Drosophila melanogaster: one gene and its partner. The protein of the gene in region 1 interacts with the protein of each later gene in a pairwise test. Each region holds a gene or a part of one and is shown in the gene's direction. Other genes may lie near its edges. The genes, in order: Hr3 and e(y)3.

Region 1 (16,346 bases):
TTGATTTGAAAATATGATACTGCATTGCTGGGATTTTCTCCGTGTGTGGGATTTCAATTACAGGCCATGGAACGAAGACAAACGGCCGGGACAAATCCGCCTTGGGCCAATCAAATATATTGTATATGGTGGTGACCTTTGGATGGGATTTCCATCCGGTATTTACTTACACGCGTCTGCCGCTGTGCATTTTATGGCCCAGATTTGGACAGTACTCACCCCTTTGGCGGTATTCCTTGAAGTCCATGGTGCAATCGCCTCACTTAACCGATGCTGACGTAAATACTGTGCAATTGTCGCACGCAATCACGGCTTGTAGATGTATCTTCAGGCGTTTCGTTTCGCAATGAGTTTGGCCTAATCCTGTTGGACTCTGGCTAGGCTAGCTCCATTTTTCGGGGACGTATGCCAAATTGAAATGCCGAATTGGGAACGTCAACCGTCTGACCGCTGGTGGGAAATAGTAAAAAAAAAACAACGGAGAACAATATAATGGAATAGAAACTTGTGCACTTCCGATGTTGTGGGGCTTCTGGCGTTCGCTGGAAATGGAAATGACAAGAAAAGCGCTTGGAAAAGCTATGAAAACGCTAACAGCTGTGAAAACACCTAGTTGGTGCACCTCGGGCACTGGAAGGGTTCGAATCCGATGGATGGTTACCTAATTGCGGCCGTGATAATATTTATCCTATAACTAGGGCTTTTGGGATAGCGCCGGGCTTTTATAGACCTGGCCGGAACCAATTAGCTTGTTGGCTGCACTACAAATCCGATCTGGCTGTGGGATGTGTTGGCAAGTTGTTGGAACACACGGAGCTCCCTAATTGGCCATCCCATAGGCAGCACGACATTAGGGGTGTAACCAAGGGGGATGCGCTCGGATTGCCAGCTGATTTCCAACAAAATTCCGTTTAAATTGGAAAGCACCCTCTAATTGTTTATGCTTGCTGACTTGCATTGCTTGATTATATTTTAAATACCGCAAATTAACTATATCTGTAACGATCTGCAGTGTGTGCACCCATACTCCAACTGCATTTTGTCATGCATTTAGAACGATGGAAACATGAACTGAAATTCATCGATCGAAATCGAATTAAATATTTGCCGTTTCACAAATAATGTTGATAGTCATAGAACAGCAACATTGTGGCTTTTTAAGCATTTGTAAATAACGAGGGAATTTAAAAAATATGTTAGCATTCATTAGAAATTATCACAGAAAATTCAAACAACTACAAGATAATCTGGTTACATTTTATATGGCTATTAATCATTTACAGCAGATATTAGTTTTTATTTATATACTTAAAATAATTTTATTATAATAAATATATTGAGATTAAGCTAAACACTTTCTTCAAACACTTATTTAAAAATCTTCTGGACAATAATTATAGTATTTCAAAATTTTTTATATATTTCGGGAATATTTTACTACCAAGTTATATACGCACAATTACAATAGATTTCAATTTGACACGCACAGGACTCGAATCAAAGTCCAACTGAATGGAATCGGACTCAAACAGGACCTATTTATACCCGGATACTGTTTGTTCTCCGATGCAAAAACGAAGGACTATCCAAATGAAATTGCTATTAAACAGCAGGATGGCTATTTTCCTAAAATGGGTGATGACAACAATAAGCTTAGAGCAAAGCGTTTGCATTGGTGCACAACTTTGAATACTCTTCTAGGATGTCTTCCTAAAAGTCTTTACTGTAATGATTATATATTTATTATTTTATAAGTTTTATTATTTCTAATATATATATTATTATATAAGTATATATTTATTTAAAATTCGGGCTTCTTAAAATGAATAACTTTTAAAAATAAATTGATAATTTAATGTAATTTTTCTTATTCATTATGAAATATAGAGGCAATGAGTCACAAAACGTCAAGAGCTTAAAAGTATTACGTGTAGTTATCAACATTTTTATGAATGTGTTATCTTTTTGGTTACGAATACTTCCTTTCAAAGAGAAAGAGCATATAAATCGGCAACAGGCGGTTTAAATACAAAAGGACATTGAGCACGACGCAGGATGAAAGAGAGTGGGAGAGAGAGAGGGGGAAGCAACAGCCAATGGAAAGAGGTGTCCTTCGGTAGGGAAACAAATCCACTGACCAATCGGATTGCAGTAGACGCAAATGGCATCAACAGGCTGCCAGCTAAATACGTCCCTCATTTTCTAAGTTGTGTGGGCTTACTGATAAATACCCCATCTGGCCAGATTTAAACGAAATTCCCCAGGGAAAACGAAGAATATGAAGAGTCGCACAGGAAGGCATAAAAGCCGAAAATGTTCGAATCTTATGTTGGCTGGAAGCCCGTCTTAAAACGCCAAAAAATATCAGAAACAGCAAATCAGTCCCCCCTCCCCGCTCATTACACACTTGTTACAAGGGAATGGGGCAGAAGGCACAAGAGAGAAGAAAGAAAGAGGGAGAGCATGAGGTCAATGAGCTTTGTACTCGTCTCGAGACTCAGGAAATTTCGACAAAATACCGCTACATTGAATGGCTTTTGCACGTCGAATGCACATGTATCTGTAGTTGTATCTATATCTGTATCCATGAGTGTGTATTACCAAATATTGAGCAATAAGAATAAGAATTTCGGTTTCTTTTGGTCATGAGACAGACAGTTACAATGCGGCTTTTGTTCCGCTCTCTCCCTTTTTGTTCTTTTAAATCTGCGGCTAAAAATACACAATTTGTGAGCTTTTTCATTTAGCTGTGGGCAACAGATAAATTCGTTTCAAAAGTGCATGTGCATACAAAAACACAATAAAAGATACTGTCTTCTTTCTCTTCGTATTCGGATTGGCTCTCTTGGTTTTGGTTGCAGCGCTTACCTGTCGCGCTCTTAAGTCGATCGCTTGGCTTTCTCTCTCTTTGTGCTTTCTTTACTCTCTCTCAGCACCTCTCTCGCTCTCTTTTCTTCGCTCTGTATTTTTTGGTGTGTTTTGATTCCTTCATTCTTGAGCGCTAAGAACGTTCGTTGACCTCGGAAAGTTGGGGCCTCTGCTTAGCGGTACTTCTCAACCTGTTTTTCCCCTCTTACGCCTTTCCCCTTTTCATCCCACAGCGCGAGTGTGTGTGCGAGTGGGCATGTGTGTGTGTTTGCCGTAGAAGTCTTCCTGTTTGCTCAGCGATTAAAGGTGCAACTGAGCGCGCTGCGATCCGATGACGGGCCCCAAAGATACACAGATACTTGCCGAGCAACGTCACGGGCTTCGGTCCCCAACTCTTCGTACCGAGCACTACGTGTATCATTGGGAATAACAGTCAGACTCTCGGACTTTCGGACATCCCATCTCTGATGAAATGCACGCTTGACTCCGCTGGCATGTGTATTTGTTACCAGCCCATACAGGCCAACTTCCATAAATCGATATTTTAGTATAGTATTTTATATCTTCTCTTCTCATGCTGTAGGGGTTTTAAAACTTTGTTATTTTTAAAAGATACCATGGAAAATTTTATTCAAAGAAAAGCTAATCGGTTTTTCTATAAGCCTATTTAAACTTCACATGCAAATATATCATTATTTTGACGAATTTTAAAAATGATTAAATGTCAGAAATCTTTTTTTGCTTTGGTGTACTTTTTATTGAATGACTTCTATAAAATCCTTTGTAGGAAGGCGGGACTGTAGCTTTTCGGTTGCTGCGCGATTATTTTTGGGCAGTGATCACGCATTTAATTAGCAGGAATTGTGGTGAGCGCCCCTTCTGCAGGTGTGTTGGTGAGCGCGTGCGTGTGTGAGGTGGGAACATCTTGCAGCTCCTTTCTCCTTTCTCGGCTGAGCTTCTGTTTCTGTTTCTTTTTGGAGCTTGCTTGGTTTCCCACTCGCCTCCGCACACAGGTTCCCGCCAGAGGATGATGATTCCACCGCCGATGCAGAGGATGATGACCACGATGATGAGCGCGATCATGATCATCGGATGCAACGGGTCTTTGACTCGGTCTCTGGCCATTTAGTGTGCAATCGTTTGTCCCCACGTCCAGTCCAGTCCACTCGGATTCCGGGCTCTCTCATCGGATCGCTACCAGTCCCGATTACGCTTGCTCTCCTTTCTGATCCGTTCCACTCCGCCGGCTTCATCATCGCCTTCGCCGGCTAACTTCGCCGTTTGAAAACTATTTGATCCGAGAACAATACTGGGACTCGAACTAATTCGCCGATTTTACGATCGCTATTATGATCTCATGGCCGGGAGATGAGTTCAAGGCCTTGACACTGATCTGATCCGATTTGGGTGTCTGAACGAAAGTCCATGTCCATTGATGAGATTGCTTAACCCGGATAACATGCCCAGCACCATCAGAGGTTAGTGAGAATGGGGAGTACTAAACATAAGACCACGAGTAGCTATGATATTCCTAAAATATTAAGCTTTATTAACTATTGGATATATTTAAGTTCTTACAATAAATCGATTTATGTCTAGATGATTTTATAATTAAGGAATGGAATACATAATACTTTTGAAAAGGATCAAATTTTAACAAAGAGGGAATTAAAAAAATAATTTTATATAGAATATAACTTGAATAGGGTCTTAATTCTCTTTAGAACCAAACACGATGACAAATAATTCCATAAATTGTTTTCAAGCATTGTAATAGATTTGCTAAAGGTCTTATGAGTTTGCTAGTTTTGAAACAGAGTTTCTCTGGTAATCAAAATAGTTGGTTGGTGATATTTCGCCTCAAAAATCAGCCTTGCCTGGCTATAGGCGACTATTGGAATCATTAGGCTGGCGAAAAGTTAAAAAAAAAAACCTAATTGATTATAAAAGGCAACGGCTTTCAATAGCCGCAAACAAATGGATGGGATATGCAGTCAAGCTGCAAGACATGCAATGCAGCACCTCCGCCAGTCTCGCCGTTGGATTTCCGATTCTAGCCAAAAGATTTTACCACATCTTCAAGGCAGAACAACAGTAATGGCCCGGCCAACTGTTGCCTCATCGACAGTGGGGCTGCAATAAACCAGTTGGAAGTCGCAGCTAATCTTGCAACACAGTTGCGCAACAAAGAATCCGAGGCAACGGTACTAACGTGTTTGCTGTTTCTGCTGCTATTGTGGCTATACGCTGGCTTCTTTTTGATTCTGTTCTGTTCTTTGCTTTTCTCCGTCTCCATTTTCTTGGCAATCAGCTCTCTGAGCCAGTTGCGTGTAACAGGTTTTTCCTCTTGAATAACTGGGACTTTCTTACGGGACTTTTTCGGAGAGTTTCTGCAGAGAAAACAGGTTAGAATCGGCACAGACTTGCAATAGATGATGAGGCAACAGCCGCCGCAAGAAGTTTACAACGGTGAGGCACACATTTCGCGTTCACGTTAGAACCAACGGTGTTTTAGCCAAGTTTAGCTGCAAGCTGCTAGTAAGCTGGTTGGCAGAACCACCAACCAGTTACCAGTTACCAGTTAGCTCTTGATTGTTGTTGCGCAAGCGGCAGCTGAATGCGGCGCAGAATAAATCTAACATGATTTAAGCAACGGAAAAACATGAAATATTAATGCCGATGCTTGAGTCTTGGCTCCGAATCAGAATCCGAATCCGTCCTAACGGTGGTCGCTCCGTTCGCCATCATCGACCCTCCTCTATAAGAAGTTTGGCCCTATGCCACCCAATTCCCCCACTCCCCTCCCCGCCCTAATGATGGCTCGATCCGATCGGTTGGGCTGGGGCCCAGTTGGGCGATTAGTTCAAATTTGCCCCGTCTGTTGGCCAATGGCCGAGATGTTCTCGGTTCGCCCCTTTTTTTGGGCATTCTTGACTCGAGGGTCATTGTGGTCATAGCTGTTCTTTGATTGGTTTTTGCCCAAATTGGCATTGGCAGCTTTAATTAGCGAGCTTAACATTTTAGTGCATTCTTGTAGTTTTGAGAGCACTAAAAATGCGCATTTTATGACTCATTTAAAAATATATATGTGCCAATGTTCATACTATTTATGACACTTTAAAGCTTTTTATATACATACTATATAATTATAAATACATGTATATTATCTTTACACAGCTTGTAGTAGACAAGACTTCGTATATATAATGACTTACTACTGCATCTATAGTTTATCCGTGTTCTACAAATTTGGTTTATAAACGAGGGGTTAACCATGAATTACATATCTTATGCACTATTTAAATGCATAACAAAAGAAAATATTTGTTTACCAAATATGTTTCTTTTTAAACATGTATATATAAAAATATATATCATAGTTGATTTTTTATTAACTAATTTTATGAATTTTTACAAATATTATAAATGGCAGTTTCAGTTGTTAGTTGAGTAAATGTCGAAAGTCAAGCCCAGAAGACTCATTCAAAATTTTCCGCCCTTGGAATTTCCACCTCGAGCGTGCAGAAATTTCCCATGACGCTTTATCACCACGACGGGAATTTTCCTGGCCCTTAGCCCGCCCCCGCCCCCACTGAGAGTTTTAGGGGTGGAAAAGCTGCGCAACAAACGTTCGTTCGACTGTGCTCGTTTTCCTTCGTGTTGTGGCTTCCAGTTTTTCCTGGCTATGCACTTGGCATTATGCCTACTAACCCTATTTTCGCAGCAGTTCGCAGCGAGTCCCATTTTTCAACTTGCATGCGGATACACACGCACACACACACTCGGATTTTCCTTTTCCCAGAAACTGAGGCGCAACCCCCACGAAACGGAAAGTTTGTGCAGCGGCAGAACGAACTGTGTTTGTGGCACTCGAATTTGGGACACATTCCTGTAAAGGACGCAGCTCCGGTCAGCTGCTTCGCAAAATCGACAAAAAGGAGTCACAAAAAAACGCGCGCGGTGCATTTAGCCACAAATCTCTGAAAGTGAAAATACAAATATTGAAACAGTGAAATCCACAAACCAGCCAAAAGTGAAACAAAATTGAACACAGTGCTTAATTAATATCGAAGCTAAAGGGATAGAAATCCGATTAGGAAAAGGGAAAGCTGCAGCGCTGCTCCTGTTTGCCAAATATTGATTCGCAAGTGTGCCGCTGAAAAATCGATTATTAAAGCCACTTTCCACACAGCTGGTGGTTGTTGTTGCCGTGAGGATGGAGGTGGTGCTTGGGGTGGTGGTTGCATAGGGTTGCGTGCCGCGATGTGGGAAATCAACAGCAACATTGGCACATCCACATCCAGATCCAGAGGCACACTTCCAACTGTTTTGACGTGGTCGGGTTCCAATGGCGCTGACACTACCGAATGCTGCAGCGCAGCCTTGCAGCCATCCAGCGGCGACGCGTTGCATGTGCAGCAGCAACAGCAACAGCAGCAGCAACATCAGCAGCAGCAGCAGCAGCAACAGCAACAGCAGCAACAACAGCAGCAGCAGCAGGATACGAAAACGAGGATGACAACGACCACAGGCAAACGCGGAGGACACAGATACAGAAGCAGGCTCAGTCACCGAAGCACAGCAACAATTGCTGCATATTAGGCAGTAAAGTAAAGTTAAACACAACCCAAAACCGAAAAGACTAGCCCAAAATTTACTCAAAAACCAACACAAGTGGAAAGCATTAATCGGAATGTCGAACTCTATGCATCGCACAAAGTTACGTTAAGTATACGACGCGTATTTCCAGCTGCAAAACGAACCAAAAACGAACCGAACGAAACGAAACGCACAGGTGCATCTGCAGACCCCACTACGCCCCTAAAAGCCCACTCCCCCCCCTTTTCGAACCCTCAGCCCCTCATTAGGCCACCCCCTCTGGGGTATCTACACCAATTGACAAGCAATCGAGGCAATGCAGTATGAATGAACTTGTTTAGTCGACAATTTTTTAAGTGCACTTTCGTAAGGCTGATTTTCAATTTATTTCGATGTTGTGCTTCTACACCCAAAAAAAAAACCAAATATAACAAGTAACAAATACAAGCATAAAAGAACCCAAGAAATTCAAGCAATGAACCAAGTGAAAGTGTGAGTGTTTAGTGTTTTAAGCGAAGGCGAAATCCGGACATTTGAGAGCCTTTGTGAGTAAACGGCCGCCACAACGGATAGGCCCAGAGATCTCCTGCTGATACAGCAGGCCAAGCCCGCCGGCGGCAGCAAATCCTCCAGCGGTGGTCCAACGTATATCGGCACCGATGCCGCCACAGCAGCGGCGGTGGCCAATCTGCGCAGCAAGGTGCCCTCCATCTCAATAATCCCGCTGCCCGTCTCGACCACCATTGTGGCACGCAGTGGTAGCGGTGCCTCTGGCACTGGCGGCAGTGGAGGAGCACCGCCAGCACTGCCCCAGCTGATCCAGTCGTCGCGGAGTGTGTCCACCAAATCCACGGGCACGTCTCCACCATTGGCCTTTATAACGGAAGGTTCTGGAACATCGGGTGCTCCCGCCCTGACACTGCTGCCACGACCCCAGCAGCAGCACCAGTACCAGCAGACCGACAAGTGCACGGTCCTCAAACTGGACGTACTGAAGCAGCAGTCGGGTGTGGCAGCCAACTCCAGCAGTAATACCTACCTGCAGATCGAGCAGCAGCTCAGCGAACTGGAGGCCGCCGACGAGGAGGAGGAGAACATGGCCAGTTTGCTGGGCAGTGCGCCACCCGCCCAAATCCTGGCCAACCAGCCCATCATCGTCAAGATCGAGCCCACGCAATCCTTCCACATCGTGGACGAGGGCGACACGAGAGTACTGAGCTTGCCCCTCAGCGATGCTGATAAGCTGGGCGCCAGTTGGATAGATCTCAAGGATATTGCCGGCCTACAGGCCGGTGGCGGAGCCACCTTGCTGGACGTCTGCTTCGAGCAGGCCAACGAGGACGGCACCATCATAGCCACCGTGCAGCCGGACTTGGAAAACGAGCTCGAGGCTGAGCTAAAGGCGGAGGGCGAGCCCGAGGATGAGACTGAACCAGAGCCTCCGGCGCCCAAGAGATTGGCGACCACCAGGCCAGCACAGTCGCGGCCACAACAGCAGCAGCAACAGCAGCAGCAGCAGGTGAAATTCCTATCGGATCCACCGGCATTGGCACGCTCCAGCAGCTTCAGCAGTCTCAGCAGCTTTAGCAGCATCAGCAATATCAGTTCCGTGTGCAAGAACATGGCCAGCAATACCAGCCAGGAGGGCTCCCTAAAACGCACAAAGGAGCGAACTCCTCCACCAATGCCACCGCTCACGACTCACAAGCCCGCTGCCACAACAACAGCAACATCAGCAACATCTGCAGCCGCAGCAACATCAGCAGCAACAGCAAGTGCAACAGCAACATCGGCCAGAGAAAACAGCAGAGAGCACAGCAGCAGCAGCAGCGGCAGTAATGGAGCCATGACAGGTATGTTCCAGTGCAACTCTCAATTATATTTTAGTCAATTTGGGAATATATATACTGTTCGAGACGATAATATATCTACCAATAATATATCTTCATATGCAAAAGCAATGTTCTTCGTCACTCTTGCTCTTAACAAACGTTAAAGAATTTTACTAAGCCATTGTGAGTGATTGTAGCAAATATTTGAAAGACCTTAAGTCAAGGATTCCCGCGAGTGATGAGTTCGCACCCCAGAAAACTCGGCAAGAATTCCACTTGTTGCGAACAACCGCCGGCTAACCACAGCACAGTGAGCACTCGCCCAGAGCGACCACCAACGATCAGCGATGGTTCAGATAATCGCACCCATATCCCCCAGATCCCCTCCCCCTTCCCCCTTCCCCATTCCACGCCAGAATCCGAGCTATGCAAATGAACGCTCGCCCATTGCGCAAGCATCCCAGGCAGCGGCAATTAACAGGCTGACACATCAGCAACACATCAGCAGTAGCGGCAGCAACACTAGCAGCAGCAACTGCAACAACAGGTGCACTGGGTGTACATTGCACGGTGTACACACCCCGTGCTAAAAAGAATTTCAATTTACAAGCCTCGATTTATTGGCTATTCACCTTTGTGTGGCTGCAGCAGCAGCAGCAGCAGCCGCCGCAGCAAAGCAGCAACACCAACAGCTACGGCCATGTGGCCCACTTTCCATAGTCAACAAACAGCGGCAACAGCAACAGCAACAACCAACACACATACAGTAAGAAGGCAGCAACAAAAACATGTTTTGACATACTAAATAAGCCGCTGCTAGGCTGACTAGCTTTTGGCCAAGTCTAGATGGCGTTCTTTATCATTAGGTTCTGTTAGCTGTTTCTGCGATTCTCCCTGCCTCGGCATATTCGCTTTACTGCTGTTGCGGCACAGCAGCAAACGCCACCACCGTTCTTCTGCTCGGCCCCTCATATTTTTACCGTAGCACGAACCTTAGCGGTAAAAACGTCAACTACAAACTATACAGTTACCTGAATGAAGGCTCAAACGGACTGAGAGCGAAACTCAAGCTGGCTAGAACAGAATGAACGTTTTTACACTGAAAAAAAGGGGCTGAAGTGTTAGTCCAGTCTAGAAACTAAAATAATCTCTATAAGAACACTTTGTGTAAATAATTTAAATTTGTTCTATCTTCTGCTCATGCATTATGCTTTGCTTTAGGACATTTTATTATTGAAGGTTACCTTGTTTTTTTTTTTCAGTGTAAGCAGCCGAGCAGCGAACGGGCTTAGGGCGCGGGGCGGCTAAGCTGAAAAATTGATTTGGCAGCGCCCCGGGCCAGCGAGTTCGAGTCTGCTCCCTCGACTCGGTTCACTTGATGACTACAAATGAGTGTCAGCCACTGACACGACTTCTCATGCAGAAGCCCTACAGTTTTGGCCAAGATTGATCTATATTTTATAGTTTTCTGTTGATATCTTGGCGCTGGGGGCCGCCGTATCCACTTGCATGGCTCATTAGCGGGCTGGGGCGGTGGCCAAATATGTCGGATTTTCTAGTCTCATGATTGATGATCGAGGCGATGAATCGTTGTTGCCTAATTGCTGTACCTGCTAGAACAGACATGACGTTCAAGGAACAGATCAATCGATTTGTTTCTGAGATTAACTGCTCTCCCAATTCCAGAAGCTGAATGATCGATCTGCAAATCTAATGAACAATCTTTTATAGTTTTATTTTGACTAGAGGTGAAACGGGATTTGTATCGGTTTGGATATAATATTCCTATATGTCTAAAATTCTAGATGATTTCGACTTGTTCGCCTATACTTTTTGTACTTCCTAAAAACTATTTCTAATCTTACATATTACAATCATATTATTAGAAAAGTGACATGTTATTACCAACATTTCATAGTAAACTTTTTCCCACAAATTAATATTTGAAATATCTTTAAAACATTAGTGTACATTTCAAGGGAATTTTTGAAATTATCGATTTGTAAAGTACCCATCACGTGAAATTTTCCAAATGATTCAAATGGTTTTGAAAACCCGTTCAGAGCCCCCCAACACAAGCGGATTTGACAATGATTAGCCCACATAATGGTAGTTGGCGTAAAAAAAAAAGAAAAAAAATGCAGAGCTAAAACATAAAGGTTTTCTTCATCCGAACCTTTCTGCAGATGAGACGACCCTGAACGTGGTCGATGGACTTTGGCAGTTCGGCGCCGTTGTCGCCGTCGTCGTAGATGTTGCAACTGGCGGATTACGAGATATATAGCTTCGCACTATCACTTTTGCGATGGGGCATATATTGGCGGTGTTTGTTGTTGTAATTTCCCATATGAATCGGAGCCAGGTTCATTATAATTTTGTTGGACAACGCTTTGCATTTCATGCATGAATCTTCGGCTTATTGACCGACCTGGTCGTCTGGACCTGGATCTGTGGCTATTAGCCAGGTCAGCGCCGCATGAGATTTCGTCTTCAATCGAGCGTGGCGAAGTTTCATTATCATATTTTCGATTTTGCCAAACTTCATCGATATTGCCCGGCGATTTCGTAATCAGCTCATCTCTTTCCCGTCTATGCGAAATTCCAATTATGCGCACACACATGTATCTTTGTATCTGCGAGATGCAAAGCTAATGGTTTTAGTATTGGACGTCAACGAAAATACATAAATTATCGTAAACGAAATATTAATTTATAACTTGAGCGATGTTTTTTCTTTTTTGTTTTCAACATTTACATGGAAATTTACTTTTTTATTTTGATATTGTGGTTCGCTTTTCATTTTGGCAAACTTCGAAAGCAAGTTGCCAAATGACTTAAACTAATTTTAACATTTTTAATTGGCCAGCACAAACTCCGTGTGCAGTTCACCTTGACTGTTCGGTGATTTTTTGGATTTCTAAATTTGTTTGTGCCACACGTAATGGCTTGAATATTTATAAAATTAATAAAAATAAATCCATAAAAAATTCATCACTCTGGGACTTAACCCAGTTTTTTTTGCCTTCATTGTCTAAGAACTGAAATCCCGCGTGCATTGTTTGCAGTGCTATGTTATGAACTGCAAGTTTTATTATAAAAGTGTGAATTTTTAATGCTAGTTAGTCCGTTATAATCAGAATCAGAGATTAATATACTTGAGTGAAGGAAACCTATAGCGGATGCACCATTCAATATAAATTAATTTATGCATTACTGCAACATTAACATGCCAATATATTAGGTTGAAAAATATAAAAATATTCTTTTTAGTTTGTAGCAATTTAGCTCTAAAATAGTAATATAAGTAAAAAAGACTATATGATACCGTCTATTGCCACTGGCCTAATGGAAAAGCGTGTGCCTACCTTATGGCGAAATGATCGTATTAAAACAAATATCACATATTTTTACACAGCTCTCACTTAACATGATTTTAAAACCTCAAACGTATAAGCCCACTTATTCATAGTTAATAAAATAATTGTATCAGCGCAGCTTAAGAGTCTCAAGCCTTTTCAATCATTAAAAGCTTGTCGGCAGGACTAAAGCGGTATAATTTAGGTGCAATTGCCACTTCCGCCCCGAAAAAGGATGGGAAACAATTTGGCCAGTCGGCGGGGCAAAAGTAAGAAATGCAATTAAATTGCTCGCAACTGCAGTGCACACATTTTGGCCTAAAAAGCAATTGACCTGCTAATCGAAGGAAGCGCCAAAAGCTCCCTCTCTTTCTCTGCCACCCTCTCTCTTAGACGAAGAAAGCCACGGGGTGTAAAAAGAGAGAGAGCAGAGATAACAGCTGATTATGACTCTTTTCTTCGCCGAGCGGTTGCCATAGCGAATGAACGGCACAAAGCGGACGAGGCAAAAGTGGGTGTGATGGTGGCAGCGGGGCGGGGGCTTGGGGCAGCGAACTGAAGAAGTCATCGGCACAGAGACACATATACCCACTTCTCTCTCTTGCGCTCTCTCGCTGTCTCCCGCTCTTTTGCTTTTGGGGAGCCCGAGCTCTGCTGCCGCATTGCGGCGCTGCTGCTGCGCCGCCGGCGTCGCTGCCGCGGCACGACGACAACGAACAGTCGATAACATTTTGCGGCACTCTTCAGCTACACCTCGTATTGAGCGTTTCGCGGCGGCGGGTTACGATGCGTGGCGCGTTGTATCTTTATTATTAATTATTTGTTGTTGTTGTTTATACTCTGTACCGTTTTCATTTCCCATCGCTCGTGTGTGTGCGCCGTGCGTGTGCGTGTGTGTGTGCGTGTGCCTATGCGTTTTGCCCCCCAAATCCCCCAAAACGCCTCACCACCCCCACTCAGCCGGGAAAAAAGCCCACAAAAAGCAAATTTACTCAAAAGGCAAAACTACGAAGCGCGAGTGTGTGCCAGTGTGTTAAAAAAAATAATAGTAAAATATGATAAATTAAGGCCTTGCAACATGCGGCGGCAGATGAAGTTTGTTCGGTTTCAGATCAAAACAAAATCATAGGATACGCCTACATATATCGCTATATACAGTACCAGTCAATCAATCAATATCGTGTGCATTCAAATTCCACATCGTGCCTACAACTGCAACTGCAATTGCGCGCCCTCTCTCCGCGAGTAAAAAAACGGAAACGGAAGTGCCAGTGACGTAATACTCCCGAAAAAAAACCAGGAGAATCCCCCCCACAGCCTCCCCACGACATTGTGCAACAAAAACAAAGCCAATCTCCGTGTATGTGTAAGAGCAATGTGACGAAAGAGTGTGTGTGTGTGTGCTACAAGGATATATAAATATTGTTAAACAAAACGAAAAATTTTAAAATCCATCGAGGAAATCCCTCATCGCAACACGGCGAAAGCCGCCTTCATCGCCCGCAAATTGGATAATTTATTGGAATAATCTATTTGCCTCTAATTAGATGGCTAACCACCAGTTTTCGGATATATCACACGATCGGGAATTTGATGATTGGGAAAGGAAATTTATGGCATCGTTTAGGCTCGTTCGTTTCTATAAGTATTTGTTAGAACTTGGGGGGTTTATTAAGAACACGTGTCTAAAACTGCAATAAGTAAATGCAAGGCGATGAAATTTAATTGAATGCTTCGATATTTTTGTTTCCAATCGCTGAGCTACAAGCTGGACTTAGATTTCATCTCTAATAATGAAAACATTGTTTCAAAATGTAACTTGCTCAAAGTCTACAAATCAATGTTTTTTTAGGTTTCGAGATAAAATAAAATGAAAAAGTAGAAGAGTTACGATTTCCTTCCGTTCCTTTAAAATAATCAATGATTAAAACGGATTAAAACTTGATGACACATTGTTGAATCCATCTGAGTTTCAAATTCATTTGAAACTAAGCTTTAGGACAATAAAATGTGTGTTAAGTGCTTTCAAAAGTTCAGATTCTTGAATTATGGTTTCGTAGTTCCAACAACGATTATCCAGCTTACTTGGCATCCCATATATACAAGGCAGTATCCCCCAATTAACAACCCCATTTTCGACCAACTTAGGCGAACTGTCAGCTAAAAGGCTTTTGCAATTTTTCATAGGGCTCCGTTCCGAGTATCTGCTGCTCGGGCAATTCTTTGGGGTCCATTGTCTTTGCCGTTCTGCTCCATCCTCCGCGGAGATCTGTGGAGCCCGAATCTCCGGGCACAAAGCCGTGATGATATGCCCTTTTCTTGTCCACAGCTTGTGGCCCTTTGTTGGCGCTGCAGTTTTCTGTCTGTGTCCATTGTGGCAACTTATGATTATCAACAATTGTTATTGTTGTCGTTAGAAGCAGTTTAGAGGCGGCAGTACGAGTACTTGCACCGACTTTCCAGTTCAGGCGAGTTCACAGCGGAGCAAAGTCGGTCGTCGCCAGCACCACCCACTCTGCGCCTCCGGTTCCCTCGGTTCTGCTGCGGCTCCTCCTGCCTGTTTAGTCGACTGTTTGCATTACCGTTAGTGGAACAACATTGCTAAGCACACACACACACACACACGTGCTCACTGCATGTGTCGCCCCATAAGTGTGCCACCCCAGCAACAACAACAACTTGTGTTACACACAGAGAAAATAATTTCCGCTGTTTTCGTCCTGAGCTATCAAAATTTTTATTTTGTGAAACTAATTTTCCACCTTTTTTGTTTAAATACAAAGCCATGCATAAGAACCCCATATTAGATACAATTTATTGACTTCATACCAATGATGAGATAAAAAAACAAATAGCAAATATTTACTACTCATCTCGCAGCTAAGATTAAAGACTTTAGGCAAATGTTAGAACTTATAGCGTTTCATTATTATATTGAATAATAAACAATCACTTAAAGGGTAACGTATCTCAAAGATACATTCTCTTCAGGCTGTTGGCACGTAACGGGATTACCAAATTGCTGATTAAGACAGATATTCTTGCCGTGTAGAGGCGGAAAACAGCCTAAGCAGAAGTCCCAGGCGGAAAAGTGGGGGCAGCGGCATGGCCCACCCATAGGTCATTGGTCTTTTTCGTCGGCGTCAACGTACTGCGACGGCAGCAGCAACAACAACACAGCAACAGCAACAGTACAAGCAGTGCTGCTGCTGCGACGCCAGCAGCGCTGCCTTGTAAACTTTGTCGTCTGCTTTGCTGTCGCTCTGTTGCTGTTGTAACTGTAACCGCCTTCGGCTTCTGCCCCCAACCCCGCCGCCGGAACATCTCTCCGCTCTCTCTTTCTTTCTCTTTCGCGCTGCTTCATCATCGGTTTGACCGGCTCGTTAGCTTTAGTACCGTTAGTAAGTTCGTTGTCGCTGCGAGAGAATTTTTCATTTCCACTGTGCGGCTATTCATTTTCATTTTCTTTTCAGCGTTTTCTTTGCGTTTTGACTATATGTAAATTTCCCGCTCTCTCTCTTTCTCTCTCTCTCTGTCCCACTCTCCCTTTGCGACCCATCTCTCTCTACTTCTGAGCTGGCACAATTTCAGTGTTGTTGCTGTCGCTTTGGTGACGTATTTTATATGTCTGCCAGAGGCTTCCGCATGGCCACCCAAAGCCACCCTCAAACCACCAACAAAGTGATTACAC
Region 2 (16,281 bases), on another chromosome or scaffold:
CTGTTAGTGTTTATTCCATGTGTCTATATTTAAACCTGTTGTAATTGAAGCTATTGCAAGCGCTGTATATGAGTGTCCATATTATATGCATTTGAATGTGTGTTTTGCCGTTACTGCACCCGCTGCACTACCTTTTTTTCCTGGGTTGGGCTGGGCTGGTCTGGAGCACTGGGTGCTCTTGGTGCACACCACGCGACCTAGAGCGGGACAGCAGCATGCCAGCTGCGTGGCCAGGAGCGGGACGGGGATAGCAGCAGATGCGCTTTCTGCGCAATTTTCTCGACTTTTGTTTACACACCTCGCAGGATGAGCCATTTGCATTCAGTAGAGTGATTGATTGTGATGGTCAGAACTTACATATGTATATAGAACCTATAAGATTCGTTCGGGGACACCCCCTACTATCAAATATACACAGCAAATAGCAAATATAGCAAATCCGGACAGTAGCCCAAAAGTATGCAGCGAAAAGATGATTATGAACTTTTGCGGGATTGTTAATATCCTCTGTTAGAATATTGATATTAAAAAAAAAAACAAACACGCATAAATATTTATATCGTATCGTCTGCTCGAGGTTCTTTATTGGGTGTCAGTGACAATCTTAGTATTAACATTAATTTATTTGTAATTTATGTAGGTATATTACAGCTCCGCTTAAGTCGACACAGGCAATCTCGTGCACGCTTATGAAATATGTATGTATGTATGTATGCATGTTTATGTATATTCGGTCGAGCAGCTATGTAATTAACAGCGTGGATTATTCATCATCGATGGTTGGACGTTAGAATTGATAATATAGTGCTGGGTGTGCTGTCGCTTCCACTCCCTAGGAGCCCAGTGGCGACATGCCGATCTGCTGCGGAGTGGCGCCGAGTTCCAGGTTCTTGAGCAGCATCTGCAGCCACTGCTTGGTCGACTTGTCCTCTTGCAGGCACAGCGCAAAGGTGCCGTCACGCAGCTGATCGGGCAGACACTGTCCCAGGGCCTTGCGAGCGCTGAAAGAGTCAAGGCTAGACTGAAAAGCCGAGCGATAATTTACTCGCCCGCCAAGACTTACCGTGTATTGTCCGAAAGACGCAGATAGCAGCGCACCACATGCTTCAACAGCCGGGCGCATGGATCCTTCGCCAGCTGGATGACCATTTTGCCCTGAAATCGATAAAGACCCTTAGACAATGCATAAGGCTTCGGGAAACGGACACTCACCAGGGTGATGGCCACGTGCGAAAAGCGTTCGTAGGTCTGGCAGATGTACGACAGACCCGACTCATCGAGCAGGATCTTCTGGATGATGAAAGTGGCCACAGTCTTGCTCAGCTCCGATCCGCTGTCCATGATGCTCAGACAAAGGGGCACGATCTCGGTGGTCAGCAGAAAGGTGATCACCTCCTGTTCGTCGGTCTGTCGATAGCAGTAATAAGAAGACAACAAGTGCATTAGTGCATTAGATGACCACTGGCCTTCGGCTTAACCTACCTTGACCAGAGCACCAATCACGCCCAAACTGGTCAGGCGCAAGTACTCGAAGGGCCTGGTCTTGGACGTGGTCGACAAGAAAGGGTACAAGTACAGCGGTATCTGGGCCTGCAGGAAGGCCGTGCGAGTCTCCGGGTGCGAGGCGACGCACTGCAGCAGCGCCAGGGCGTTGCACACGCGGTTCGACTGGTGGGCCGTCAAAGTGGGCGGCGTTATCGATGGGTAGATGTTAACAATCTCCTGCAACAGGGCGCAGGCGGTCCCGAAGCTGTTCCACAGCATGGGGGCCAGGTCCGTCTCACGCTTCTTGCTTAGCTCGAGCAGAGCGGTTTCACGCGTGTCCGGATGGGCCAGCTCATTGATCCACTGGTACACCTGGCGGGCGATAAGTTAAAGCTAGCACGCGTTCTTGCCGACATCGGCTTACCTTCTCCTGCTCGGTCTGCTGCTGCTGCTGTTGCTGCTGCTGCTGCTGCTGAGGATTCATATGCGGACTCGGTTGAGCACTCATCGTGTTAACTTGACAAGATCTGGGTAAGAACTGTCGCCGGACGCTTGCAATGCACTTAGTGTCGGCGAGAACTCGCTGAACGGAACGGGACCTGCGAAAAGGAAGAGGTGGATTCCTATCGCCGGACGCTTAGATCGGGCGAGAGTTCGCTGAACGGAATGGGGCCTGCGAAAAGGAAGAGGTGGAACTAGCGATTTGTCGTCGATTTCTATAGCCGGACGCTTGCAATAGACTTAGCTCGGGCGAGAATTCGCTGAACGGAACGGGGCCTGCGAAAAAGGAAGAGGTAAAACTGGCGATTTGGCGTCTATTGCGATTATCGATAACGTTAGCAGGAAATTCCTTTTGCATTGGTTTAAGTCTAAAATGATCGAAAACAAGTGGCGACAACCAGGATTATGTTGTGTGCCGAACAGTGTGGCCAGAACCGCGCAAATGCCGCTGGAAATTGGTGAAACGCAAGCGCGCTATTTGTTTTCCAGCGTCGATGTAAATATGTACATAAATTTAAATTTTCAGAGAAACTTCCCGCCGTACGAAAACACAAAGTCTGAATGAAATCAAACATGATTTGCCAAATACAACTGCTTGCGCATGCTTTGTTGGTGCAAAATGCAAAAGTCTACAATTTTGAAGAAAATAGGCTTGATATCTTTGAAAAAGGATGACATTGCAAAGAAATAATGAATGGACGTGAGCGCGTGATTGCGAATGACCGATGATTACATTGATCAAAAGTAATAACCATAATGGGTATTTTAATTAGGTTATAGTTCATAATTTGCATGCTAAAAGCTAAAAATGCAATTTAGTAAAGACGCATTTAGCGGTAGTCAAGTGCACCGACTGGTTTGTATCCCGGCTATCCCCGTCGATTTTGTGGTATTTCTTAGCACATTCCCCGCCAGCCGGGTATCTAGCTGACAGCCGCAAAACGGCCACACTGATTTTCATTTGTCGTGACGAGTACCTCGGAATCGAAAAGAAAAAAACATAAGCAGACAGGCGAAACAGAGCATTCCGTTCAATAATGAATGCATAAGAACGTTCGACGCGCGCCGAGAACCAGTCTGCATACGAGTCGTGCGTGCGGCCAGCGTGTTGGATATATTTTTTTGAGGTTTGCGCCAGTTTCCAATGCACTCTCGTGTCGCCCTGCCTTCTGTACCATCGAATTTGAATCGTTAAAAGTGCGTGGAAAAGTGTACGAATCGAAACCAATACACGGAAAGTGGGACAACGGCGACTGAGAGAGCTCGTTGCGCTTGTCTCTGTGTCGCTGCCTTTGTGTGCGTACGACTGAGCGTGTGTGTGTGTGTGCCGTTCTGTTGCTGTTGTGTGTGTGTGTGTGCATGCGTGTGCACCGCCGATGTGTGCGTGCGAGTAGTGCCTACTGCGGCCGAGAGTCGAGTGTTGCCCGTGCTTCGAAATCGCATTGAATCGTATGGAAAAATGTGTTTTACTTCTCGCCCAACAACGCCGAACGCCTAAAAAAGAAAATTGCCGCACGGCGTCGCGCAGCATCAATCAAAGTGCATAGAAATATGAGCATGCCAATGCCAGCAAAGGCAAAGGCAAACGAAATAGCAAATCCAAATCGCAATCGCGAATTGTGCACGCAAATCAAAAGCAGGCGCTCTTCTACTCCACCATCTTCTTTTGTCTGTCTCTGAGCGACGACTTTGCCGCATGGTGAGTTTGCCGTTTGCTTGTCGTTGCTGCTTCTTCTTTGCCCCGTTCGTTATTGTTGTTGTCGTTGGTATTGGTAGTGGTAGTGGTTGTAGTGGTGGTGTTGGGTCAGGGCTTTGGCGGCGGCGTCGTTGTTGCTAATTTTGTTGCCAGTGCACTGGCTGTCGATATTGCGCTCTAAAATCGTGCTCACAATAATATTAGTCCTAGTGCAGATAGATAGATGCTTGCATTTGGCCAGTAGAAATGTAAGCATACATATACGCAGGCCAGGGCAACCAACCCATATGAGTGTGTGCGTGTCGTGCTCCTTCGTATGTGTGTGTGTGTGTGTGGATTTTCTCCATGCAGCGGCATCGACTGCTTGTGGTGGATTTGGCCGCCAGCGTGGTGAATTCGCGTCAGTGTTGCCAGCACACACCAGTAACAAACAGGCCATAATTCGTGGCGGCGCGGCTTTCTCAGTATTTGCCTATCCCGCTGCTTCGCTGCGCTCCTCTGCGCTCAACGCCATAGCCATTCCGCTTCATCCTCATCTTCCTCCTGCCTTTTCACGTTCTCCCCCAGTCGACAGCTGTGTGCGCATGTTTGCAGCGCTTATTATTTATTAAGTGTTGTTGTTGTTGCCCTCGCCGTGGTTCTTCTTGTGTTTATTTCGCTTGAAGTTTTTCGCGGCAATTTCGAGCGGTAGTTTTTCAGCGCCGGAAAATCGTATTGCATTTTCATCGGAATTTTCGGCTGGCGACTGTTTAAACCTGCGCGTCCTTCGGTATTTACAAATACGGTTTAATTGTTTAGACATGTGCTATAATTAGTTCGTAACTCTACCCGGCTTTCATTCAATTTTATTCTTTCATTGGGCTCCAATAAGTGTGTATGTACAAATGTACATATATGTATGTATGTATGTATGAGTGTATTTGTGGGTGTGTGTGTCTGTAGGTCGTTCCCCTTTTCAAATTGTCTCTTTTTAGTGTAAACAAAATGCATCCCTTGGAGCGGCAATTATACGCATTATTATATGCTGTATTGGCGGTTTTCTTTAGGATTGATTTCACATGCAAATTTAAGAATTAGTTGTTGAAAGTCCCGAATCTTATCGACTGCTATCATGCACCCTGATCTAAAGTATCGTCCACTTCTTTTTGCAGGCTGGCGGCCCACTGGACAATCGAATATAGCAATGAATGATTTACGTCAGCAGCAGATGGTAGCAGCGACATCGTCATCAGGATCGGAATCGGGAACAGCGGTAGAATCGGCAGCCGCCACGTCCACAGCAGGATCAGCCGGAGCAGCAGGTCGCCCCCAGTCTAACTGTAGCGCTAATAGCAACGCCAAGTCAGTGGCAGCGAGCAGCACGAGCGAGGAGGAGCAGCGAGTTAGCTCCACGTCGTCGCCAGCCCAGCGGGATCAGCAGCTGAATGCAGATCGGGACCGGGAACAGGAGCCAGAGCCACAGCAGCAGCAGCAGCGGGAGGAGGCACTGCAGCACCAGCATAATCAGCCCGGCCATATAACCAGCACCACAGCGTCGCCTCCGCCGACGCTGCCACCGCCGACGACGCCGTGCGACGATGCCCCAAGCACAACTGGAGCATCTGCATCGGCCAGCTCAGCATCCGGAGAAGCACCATCAGCAGCATCAGCAGCGGGAGCAGCAGGTGGACCGATGGCCGCTACGGCGCTTGAGGTAGAGAGCGAGGAGCGGGATGGACATAAGATCATCCTGAAGCTCTCCAAGCACGCCAATCCCAACTCAAACGCAAATGAATCTCAGCCGGGCGGAGATGAGAGGCGCGTGGAGCCCCTGCGCATTCAGCTGCCCTGCGGCGGAGCGGAAGGAGGCTTGGTTGCGAAGCAGCAAGATGCCTTCGATGCGGACGCCTCTTCCTGCTCCTCGTCGTGCGCCGAGGACGAGGTGGCTACCACCCTCGGCCAACAACTACGAAACACCCCGCACATTGTGCCAAAGCTGACCATCCGCGCCGCGAACGAGAGGCGCGTAGGCAGCGTGGTGCCTAAGCTGACCATCAAGTTGCCTGAGAATCCGGCTGCTTCCGGCTCCAACTCCAACTCTGGATCGTGCTCAGCAGCTGTGAGTGGCGCCCAGTCAGCTATGCCCGCCAAGAACGATGCCCACCTGTCCAGCCTCTCGCCCGCATCCGCCTCGTCTTCATCTGCCTCGTCCTCCTCCTCATCGTCGTCGTCGTCCTCACTGGCGGAGATGCAGACGGTGCCCAAGCTGATGATCAAGACAACGCTAGCCGGTAGTAGCTGCATCAGCAGCAGTGAGGAGCTTCCGCAGCAGCAGCAGCAGATACCAAAGTTAACAATCAAGACAGGTGGCGGCGGTCAGGAGCACGTGCACACGGTCATAATGACGCACGACCTAAACAACGCCCAGAGCATCCCCAAACTCACCATTAAAACCAAATCCATAGAGATGATCGAGGACGAACAGGCGGCTAAGCTGGAGCAGCAATTGCAGCCGCTGCCCAAGCTGACCATCAAGAACTTATGCTCACCGAAGCACAAGGTGCGTGCAGTGCTCGAGGAGAAGCCACCAACGGCGGCCTCCAAGCTGGCTATCCCAAAACCCACGCCCAATCCCACGCCGGCTCCCATGACGAATGGCGGCGAGTCGAACAGCAGTAGTCAGGAATTCTGCGGCTTCTCCGACCCAGACGCAGATATAGCTGCGCCAGCCTCGGACGACGTTCGCCGCAATTCGGACGACATGGTGATCGACGATTCGCTCTCCAAGGAGCACGATCCCAAGATTTTTCACAATCTACCGCCCATGCCCGCCAGCAACGGCATAGCCAGCGGTGGGAGTAAGGCCAGTAAAGCCAGCAAGTCTGCCCAATCCCAGCACAACGTTGTGGACATGGTGGACCTGACCTCGTCACCGTCGCCGGGCTCTTCGCCAACGCATGTGCCTAACAACTTCACGGGACGCATTTCGCCGAAAGGGTTGCTCATCGACTGCCTGCGGATGCAAACTGCGATCGGCTGTTATGTGCCCGAGGAGGCCGACAGTCGCGTTAGGCCAGCTGCGTCGCCCAATTCGAACATATTGCTTAGCCAGCTGACGGCACCGGCTAAAAGCTTCACAACGACCACGCCTAAAAGCAAATCCAGCAAGTATCCCCAGCTAACGGAGCGCCTGATGGCGAATGGAAGCGGTACCGGTGGGGGATCTGTTATTGCTGCAGAAAGCGAGGCAGTCGTTGGTCCCTTGCCCGCCGCGAATCCCGCCCAATCCATAATCGAGTCCATTGAAATCCTGGACACGCCTGATGGCAGCCCGAGGGTAGCCTACATGGACGAGGATTCTAACCCGATGCTCAACAAACATCTCCAAACTATTCACAAGCTCGCAATGGATCACGGAGTGGAACAGCGTATGGATACCCAGGACAACAACAACGAGAACCACTTGAAACGCACTAACAGCGAGGGAAACGAATCTCCCAGCAGTAGAGTACGTTGTCGCTTATTTATTTATAACCAATTGTACCGTGACAGTAGTTTTTCTTTTCGCAGCTCCCTCCCAGCAAACAGCGACGTCTGGACAACGACGAGAACGACCAGCAGACGCAGAATTGCCACGATCCCGCCAGAAAGTGCAGTGAATCACTGCAGGCGCTTCCGCCGTCACATCGCTCGCGCAAGCAGAAGCACGAGCGAATCCTGAACACAGATCTGGAGGGTTCGCTTTTTCCACCCACCCAACAGCAGTCGATTTCAACGCCGGATCAAAATGGAGCCTTGTCCTCGGAGGTCGAAGGCGAGGACGCAAAGGCGCAAGATCCGCTAGAACCGGCGACGCCTCAGCCCCCACCGGTAGCGACGCCGGCAGGAACGGGCAAGAAGCGTGGGCGGCCGAAGCGTATCCAAAACCAGAGCTCGCCGGATGGTGGAGGTGCAGTTACTCCCAAACCCGGCACTCCACAGGAGGAGGCCAACAGCGCTGTCAAGTCGCGTCGCGTACAACTGCTGCGCAAGCGACTGGCCATCGACATGGTGAGCGTGGGCCAAGAGCAGGCGGACATGAAAGCTAAGGAAAAGGAGTCGTCTGTGGGCGTGCCAAATGCAAGAGTTGAAGACGGGCTTGCCGAAACTCTGGAATCTCCAAAGACTCGCGACCATCGCCCCCTGAGAGCCACGCGCCGCACCACGACCAGCACAAACACCAACCTGCAGCCCACGCCCAAGTCCACAAGGAAGCGCCAGAGCAAGGCCAGTGTCCAACAAAGCCAGTTGCCGCCGCCGACGATGGCTCAGTTCGGTAGTTCGGAGTCCGAGTCCAACAACAACAATAATAGCAGCATATCCTTTGCCCTGAGCGCGCAGATCGACCTCACAATGTGCTCGTCCAGTTCGTCGACCTCCTCTGGCGCTGCCGCCAACCAGCAGGTGATCGGTGGAAGTGGCAGCAGCTCGATGCTACCTCCGACGACGATTCTGTCTTCTTCGGATCCGCTGCCCGATGTCATCTTCCAGCCAAATGACTTCTCCTCTATCATGGCCACCCAGCAGCTGCGCTCCTCGCGCCCCTCAAGCATCAGCTGTGGCAGTACCGGCGGTAGCCAGCCGGACTGTCACGACGAGGACAACTACACCAGCGCGCTGGACAATTCCGGAGGTAAGAAAGTTTTGTTAAATCCTTTAAAACTTCAAGTAACCAAAAGTAAACTCTTCCTCTTCAGACGAAACTGCGTTGCCTATGCCCCCCACGCGGGGACGTGGTCGTGGCCGGCGATCCAGGGGAGGCCGCGGTAGAGGATCTTCTTCGGTGGATCGGGCTGTCAGCGTCGGAGGCACAGCCTCCACAACGCCCGCCACGCAGCCTAGGGCCCCGCGAATGAGCCGAGGAGCAAGTGCCGTAGCAAAGGCCATCGCCATGAGTCGACCACGATGCGTGGGCGGCCTCAAGCACCAGCCCGATCCCGAGAGACTTAAAGGCTTGTTCAGTCCGGTAAGTGGTCTTCGTTTATGCTTGGTAAAGGTAATCGTTATGCTTATGGTAAAGTAAACATTGTTATATTAAGTGGGATCAAGTTGCGTATGTTTTTGTTAATTTTGCAAAACTACTTAGCAATTCGCCAAAGCCATTTGATGAGTGCTTAGCTTTAGGGATTTTCATTTCTCTAAAAATGGGTGCGAATATGAATAGCCTAGGAAGGAGCGTATTTTATATACTTTAGTAAAACATTTATATATATATTTGCAACATATTTAGTTATGTTAATGGGGGGCAACTGGAATTAGGACCTAACTGGTTCCACTTGTTTCGAAAACTGCAAATAATACCACACTTATTCTCTCATAACCAAGTATCGAGAGCGACTCGTCGAAAAGTGGCGCGAATATTTAGAAGACGGCGACTAGTTGGCTAAACTAAAAATATAATAAATGCGCCAAACTTTGTCGCTGGATAAGAGAATCGTAGATCCTTGAATTGGAGTCACCTTTTGAAATGGGGCTGTTTGCATGTTATTTTAAACTAACGAGACCGAGCAGCAGTAACGAGTGATGGTGCGGCTCGAGATCTCGTTAGTTCTCGCAGTAACGGACATCGGATATGGGGCATCGTGTTGAAGATGGTCAGTACAGTTAGGGCTTCTACCGGGCTTTACAATTTGTATTACATTGCCTTCTTGTTTATGTTTCATTACGTAAATCTTGCCCACTTACCCAAACTCTCACACACACTGAGGGCTAACGTGTCGTAATTAAAAAAAGGCGCGCGCCATGTCGCGAATTCATTGCCAACGGCCTAGTGTAAGTGCACAGCCAACAACAACAATAAAGCCAAGCGAGCCGCTGCTGCATTAGCTATTGGGGGCGTGTGGCGTGCCGGTTAAGGGGGGGAGCGGCGAAGGAAGCAGCTGCGAACTGAGCAGCGCAGCCGCTGTGATTGTTGTTGGCTTCACCTGCGATTTTAATCAGCTGAAGTTTTTGTTTGGCTCTCGCCAATCGCACGTGTGTGTGTTTGTGTCTTTGCATGTGTGTGGGTAAATGAGCTGACAGTAGTCCACCTTCACCACACCTGCTGCTGCTGCACTCGCTCTCACTCTCGATTGCTCTCTTGCCCACTCTCTCAGCGGGGCTTTGAATGTGAACTTCGTTGAGAGCTGGCAACTCTGCGCTCGCCGTTTTCGCTGCTGCACGTTTAAACATGTGCAAAGAGCAATGGCTTCCAAAAATTGCAAGGATAAATAATTATGCGCACATGTGTACATATGTACGCATGTATGCATGTTGAGCAATTACCCTGTGTTTACAAATGGTTAGTTTTTACTTCGTAGGGTTTCAGGGTTTCCTTCTGCTATTGGCAATTCTAAGTAAAAGTAAGTTAAGTACCAATCGTATAATTATTCCTACCGTTCTATGAGAATGAACTGTTATGTCCTAGACTACGAATTGAAATATGTATGTATATGTATGTACATACATACATATATACATATATAAGGTATACGTTAGATCGCAATGTCCTTTGAATTCATGATTCCTAATTACCTACCGCCCTAATTCTTCTTTAGTCGCCGCAAGTGTTTGAGGAGGACACGCGTATGAGCGCCGATCTTAGCAACAGCAATCAGTCGATGGCCAGCCTGATGGAACCCCCGCTAACGCCACAGAAGTGAGTCTTCCATGTGTTCATTTCCACTGTAAATTGTAATTAATAAATTCTTTTCTCGTCTGCAGGCAACCCGACTTCCTCAACAACGAGGAGTCACAGTCGTCCATGGTGAGCAATGTGAGCATGATGGACTCCAACCAGGGTCAGTCCGCCGACGCGATTCTGGGTTCTGCTCTCAAACGTCCAAAGAAGAAGAAGATGGAAACTTGCGTGGCCGAAGAGTAAGTGCATTCTAACGAACTCATAACGTAGCAGGTCTAAGACTTTATTGAATTGCAGCACCGACTACAGCGCCTCCAGCATCGCCGAGTACGACTGGCCACCGCCTAAAGGTTGCTGCCCATCAAAGAATCGGGACACCTTCATGATTCAAGAGCAGGTGGCGCTCTATCTGGGCATTACCAGCTTTAAGCGCAAGTACCCGGATCTGCCACGCCGATCGGTCGACATGGAGGAGCGCAATTGGCTGCAGGAGAAGGGGCTGGTTAGCGAGAAGTTGTGCGACCTGGGCATCACCGCTGTGTGGGCCTCCGACATATTGGACATCATGTACGCGGACTTTTTCGACAAGTACGAAGAGTACAAGGAGTACATTCGCAGAAAGCATTTGCGCGAGATCGAGGCTAAGCAGAAGGCCCTAGGACTCACAGTCGGGGCCGGACGAGGTCTGCAAGCTCGCGACCGTGCCATGCTTTCGGCCACCAAGTGGAACGCTTACTTCAACAAGTCGTGAGTTACTTTCTATACTTTCTAGCAGTTGCATTTGGTAAATGAGCAGCTTCCTAATGCTAATGCCTTCTAATCTCTTGTATGCAGCCGTAAGGATGAGCGCCAGTCCTGCATGGACCTGCAGACCTTCACGATAAATCAGCCGCAGCCAAGGACCGCGCCCACCTGTACACGCCTAGAGCGCTCCACTTCGGATTTGATACGGGCAGTGGCAGAAGAGGCGAATATCCCGGCACCGCCTAATCTCCTGCCACCCCGCGACTATGACGAGGCCTTCCGCAACTCAGACTACGCTTATCCACTCACGGTGGTACCGGACCAGTTCTCAATGGCCTACCGCCAGTTTGAGCCCGCCGAGCTCAGGTAAGACGCAGTCGTGGTGTCTCTATTATTTTCACTGTCACTAACAATTCACTTTTACAGAGCCTACCCACTGGACACGGCGCTGGACAAGCCGCCGACCGATCTGATGGCTCAGCTGCTACAGGCAAAATCCGAAGCTGTAGGCAGCGATGAAATCAAAACGTCCGCCCCGGCCCCCAAGGATCTGGGGCAAGAGCAGTCCGCCATCAAATCCGTAACGGTAACGGCGCCCGTCCGACGCAGCAGAAGGTCCACACGCCAGCAGACGGACAAGGTTCGCACGGCTAGCAGCTCCAGCACGTCCTCCGCTCAATCGGTCTCATCCGCGTCCAGCGGCAACGGGAGCAGCAGTGATACGGTAATTTGAGCGATTTGGATAGAGATACATTCATTCGATTTGATGAAATACATTGAATTGAGTTAAATTGAATCACATTTGGTTCACTGGTGTCTGCATTCTGATAACTATGGGCTTCAGTTGAAATAATCGCCAACAATTCTTATGCATTTTAGGAAAGCGGCGATGAAAGCGACTTTAGCAGCACATCGAGCTGCAGCAGTTCGACGGGTGCCTCAAGTGGAGCAGGCAGCGAGGACGAGGATGGGAACGAGTGCTCATCGTCGGTCAGGCTGTCCACCTGCGGCGTCTGTCTGCGCAGTCAGCATCGCAATGCTAGGGACATGCCGGAGGCTTTCATCCGCTGTTACACATGCCGAAAGCGCGGTAAGTAGTCCCCCATACTTTGCTCCGCTTCCGTCCTAAAATCAGTGCCATCCCACAGTCCATCCCAGCTGCGTTGATATGCCACCGCGCATGGTGGGTCGCGTGAGGAACTACAATTGGCAGTGCGCCGGGTGCAAATGCTGCATCAAGTGCCGTAGCAGCCAACGTCCAGGAAAGATGCTCTATTGCGAGCAGTGCGACCGAGGCTACCACATCTACTGCTTGGGCCTCAGGACAGTCCCAGATGGTAAGTACTTCGTGGCTTGTCTATAAAGCCATTTGGAGAGTTAGTTGCTCATGGATAACATACATAAATTGTTCGATTGAATGATTTGAAATATACAGACTAGATTACTTAACAAACATCCCTCTTACAAAACTTACAGGGCGCTGGAGCTGTGAGCGCTGCTGTTTCTGCATGCGATGCGGGGCCACCAAGCCGGAGGGTCTGCCCCAGGTGGCCGCTCTGTCCCAGGCGTCCGGAGGACCGTCGGCCAACGGGGATCGCTCAAAGGCAGCGCGCAATAAGCGCTTGAAATGGGTGCACGAGTACCGCATCGATCATGTGACGAAGATCCGGGAGCACGCCGCCATGTTCTGCGTACCATGTGCGCGAAACAAGCCCGCCAAGCGGCAGTCGGCGGCGGGTGCGGCCGGTGCGGCAGCAGTTACTCCTGTCTTGGAGGCCACTTCCGCGCAAACGGATGACAGTCCGATGCCCAGTCCCGGCCTGACAACCAACGGAGGACGCGCCCTTTCGCCAACGGCGGCACTGAGTCCAAAGGCAGCTGTGCCCGTGGCATCGCTGCCGCCCGTTCTTGAAGCGACGACGGTGACCACAAATATTGCGGGAACGATAGGCAGACGGCAGGCGGGTAATGCTGTCAATATTACAACGATGCAGTGCAGCAGCAGCAGCAGCAGCAACTTCAGCGGGAACGGAGTCACCGAGGACGCGGCGAATGTCACTGCAACGGGAACGGCTACGGCGGCCGCAGGAGCACCCGCTGCCACTCCAATAGGCATAGCTCCGCCGCCCGTTGTTGCCTGAGTGGGGGTCATACGTTATTGTGCCAAGCGTACTCTAACGGACTTATAGTAAGCGCCGGACGCGCCGCCCCTTTTACCAAGCCGCCTCCAAAGTGGTCGTAACCACAGAGCACAGCCGCCATCCCAAAAAAAGAAAATAAGAAAAAAAAAACCACACACAGATGCATAGTATTAATGAATGCGACAAGGGGAAGAGAATGGATTAAGAGTGGAGAGAGTATTTAAGGTTTTTTTTTTACTACGATTATTCTTTATTTGTCAGTACTGCATTGTATTGATTGTGTTTTATACATATATACATATAAATATTCCTATTATAGTTATGTTACTTAACTTTGCTAATGTTAACAACCAAACGACCGCATAAACACACACAAACACACACACACACATGACACGCACCCCGAACACCAAGTAGACCACGTTATGCTTAAGACTTTTTTAACGCCTAAGTTGAATAGCCTAGCACTAAGTCACAACTTCATTTGTTTCTAGTGAATTCATTTGACGCATTTTAGTTCAATTGCGCGCAATCGCCCACGCAAAAACAGATTTGTACACTTGCGTTTTTAACCGAGGAAAGAGTGCTGTCTGTCCAGCTGTCCAGCTGTCCTGGCCGTGCGGCTTTGTTCGTTTGTATTCCCGTGTCCTTGGAGGCTTGGTCCACCCGCTGGGTTGGGTCTTGTCCACGTCTGTAGGTAGGGCTAGCTGTTTCGTGTTACCGTTTGCTTTTGAATCGAAATAGTGTCTATTTCTATTTCTCAGCCAAGTCTAAGTCTAAGCCGCCACCGTGCGCACTGTGCATCTGTATTTTCTATAGACATTATATTTGATTTTAAACGTCTTATGCGCCGAATTTTTGAACATGTATGTATATGTGTGTATTTATAAGAACCACGCCCTCTAGCCCATGTAAGTAGTTAAGCACAGCCTAAGTAGTGTCTTCATGTGCGGTAGCTGCTTGTCCTTTTTTTTTTCGATTCGTTTAGTTTAGATTCGGTAGATTCGTAAGCGGGGTAGGGACTTGGCTCGGCGGTGGATCGAGGATCGGGGAGCCGGGTGCCGCTCTGCAATCGTATGGCTAAGAATGTATTATAAATGTAATTTATGCTAACACATAACCCAACAACAAACGGACCCACACACCACACACACACACAAACAAACATATATATTTATATATACATATATATATATATATATATATATATAGATATACTAGCTGTAGCTATAAGATTAAAGCACAAGAACAGATACAGATGTGGCTAGCGAGGATTAGGTAGGAGGAAGTGGAAGTGTGGAAGAACCATGTGTGAAATATTGTTAGGCAACAGTTCTAATACCGCCGCAGGATAGGTAGCTCTAAGTTTTCGATCTACTTAAGACAGAGTGGATCCACAGACGGGCCCAGCTGCAAACCTCGGCTGGAGAGAGCTGGGTAATCCACTTTATGCGAAAAGTAAATCTTAAGTCCTTCATATTAAGTGGAATTATTCTTATGTATACATACTGAAAGATTTATTTTTAAGTCGAATAAAACAGCAGCATTAATAACCTGGCCTTACCACAAACTCTACGCCACGATTTTGGGCATCAGGAGCTCCTCCAGCTCGTGGCCGTCGCGCCATGTGAGCACGGAGCAGGCCAGTTCCTGGCCATGGGCGGTCATCTTACCGTGCAGCTCGAATCCGCGCCGGATGCAGGCGACATCCTTTTGCCGCAGCCGCTTAATGGCGCACAGATCGTTGCAACTATCGCCCACATAGATCAAGCGCTCGTATCGCCCGCTGCACGTCAGCTCGTCCATCACGGAGCCCTTGCACATGTTGGAGGGGCAGAGATCGCAGTCAGTCTGCTCTTGGTAGGGCAGCACCAGCAGTTCGCCGCTCGCTTGGACGCATGCGGGATTGGTGAACACGCCGCCGGCAAAGAGGCACTCAATGGCGTACGCCTGCAGCCACTCGCCGATGAAGAAGGAGTTGGCGTCGCTGACGATGCACAGTTCGAGCTCAGGGATCCTGGCTAATTGGCGCATCACCCGCAGCATTCCAGGCACGGCTGTGAGACTGCGCACACGCTTGCCCACCGACGCGGAGTTCACCTTGTGCTCGCCATGCAGGCGCTGCAACACTTGGCTTATGAAGCTCAGCCAGCCGCACTTGGGGATCTGGTCCTGCAGCTCCTTGCGCTGACTGGTCGGCAGTAGTTGGCTCACCGCCAAATAGGAGTCCTGCTCAACGATGGTCCTGTCGAAGTCGATGGCGACTAGGGTGCGCGGTCCAGGCGAACTGGATGCGCTCAGACCGCGTCCGAAGGGCGAAAGGCAACGGCTCAACCGGAGGCTTCTCGAAATTGCAAACATTTTGGTGTGGAAAACAAACAATTTGACTTTAATATCAATGCACACACTCGTTTAAACAGTACAGTAGATATGGGTGAACAAAGCACATCAATATCGATAAGGTAGCGCCAATATCCGAAGGTGCACGAAGTCCCATGGAAGCTGGGGGGGATCTTCGTTCCATCGACCATGCGACCGACGTGTCCGTTTGGCCGACAATGTTGTAATTATAATATAATGTGTGTATTATATGTATGTATATCGCATAAGTTTTAGATATTGTCATTGAAAAATGTTGTTTCGTTTTCCGTTGCATAAAATATTTTCCAAAAAGGTTTAAATATCTAAAATACATTCATAGTTTGTGTGTGTGTGTGTGTGTTGGTAACATGCAAAAAGCTATGCAAATGCATATGGAACAGCAAAGATCAATATACATACTTGTATGGCTTCCAACAAATATGGGTGCACTATATCGCACGTACATAAGTAAGTGTATAATTTAGCTACATGGGCGAATTCATTGGCTAACTATATAAAATGAAACAATATACCATATACCACTACTGGAAACAATCAACGTATCTCTTTCAGCTTTTGGGGATTCACATATCAATGTTGCGATCGGATGAGATACTCTGTGATTATTTCTTATTCTTAAGAATTGAGTAAATATTTACTGACTGACCAAATGGAATCCGAAGTTAGTTTGTGATTAAATTACGTTTGCTTCGCGC

The links.
Region 2: the proteins of Hr3 (region 1) and e(y)3 interact in a two-hybrid assay, tested with the Drosophila melanogaster proteins (one study listed by BioGRID).

Annotation. Positions count from the first base shown.
Region 1 is NT_033778.4:10,224,998-10,241,343, reverse strand, and holds the start of Hr3 (hormone receptor 3), read left to right. Parts: upstream 1-6,736; 5' UTR 6,737-7,131; coding exon of another isoform or gene 7,132-7,470; 5' UTR 7,471-8,032; coding exon of another isoform or gene 8,033-8,563; coding exon 8,564-9,320; intron 9,321-13,386; exon of another isoform or gene 13,387-14,021; intron 14,022-16,346. Other genes in the region: Hdc (histidine decarboxylase), read right to left, coding at 220-247; CG12912 (uncharacterized protein), read left to right, coding at 7,132-7,470. UniProt on the Drosophila melanogaster protein: Putative receptor whose ligand is not yet known.
Region 2 is NC_004354.4:19,625,022-19,641,302, reverse strand, and holds e(y)3 (enhancer of yellow 3), read left to right. Parts: upstream 1-2,933; 5' UTR 2,934-3,930; exon of another isoform or gene 3,931-4,451; intron 4,452-4,833; 5' UTR 4,834-4,865; coding exon 4,866-7,169; intron 7,170-7,216; coding exon of another isoform or gene 7,217-7,231; coding exon 7,232-8,333; intron 8,334-8,379; coding exon 8,380-8,666; intron 8,667-10,236; coding exon 10,237-10,337; intron 10,338-10,402; coding exon 10,403-10,558; intron 10,559-10,616; coding exon 10,617-11,066; intron 11,067-11,153; coding exon 11,154-11,429; intron 11,430-11,489; coding exon 11,490-11,787; intron 11,788-11,942; coding exon 11,943-12,153; intron 12,154-12,211; coding exon 12,212-12,400; intron 12,401-12,539; coding exon 12,540-13,204; 3' UTR 13,205-13,336; downstream 13,337-16,281. Other genes in the region: Rcd-1 (required for cell differentiation 1), read right to left, coding at 833-1,001, 1,064-1,155, 1,213-1,407, 1,483-1,857, 1,910-1,993; CG14212 (uncharacterized protein), read right to left, coding at 14,777-15,565. UniProt on the Drosophila melanogaster protein: Essential transcription regulator during early development. Coactivates transcription of some euchromatin genes and repress transcription in of euchromatin genes translocated to heterochromatin.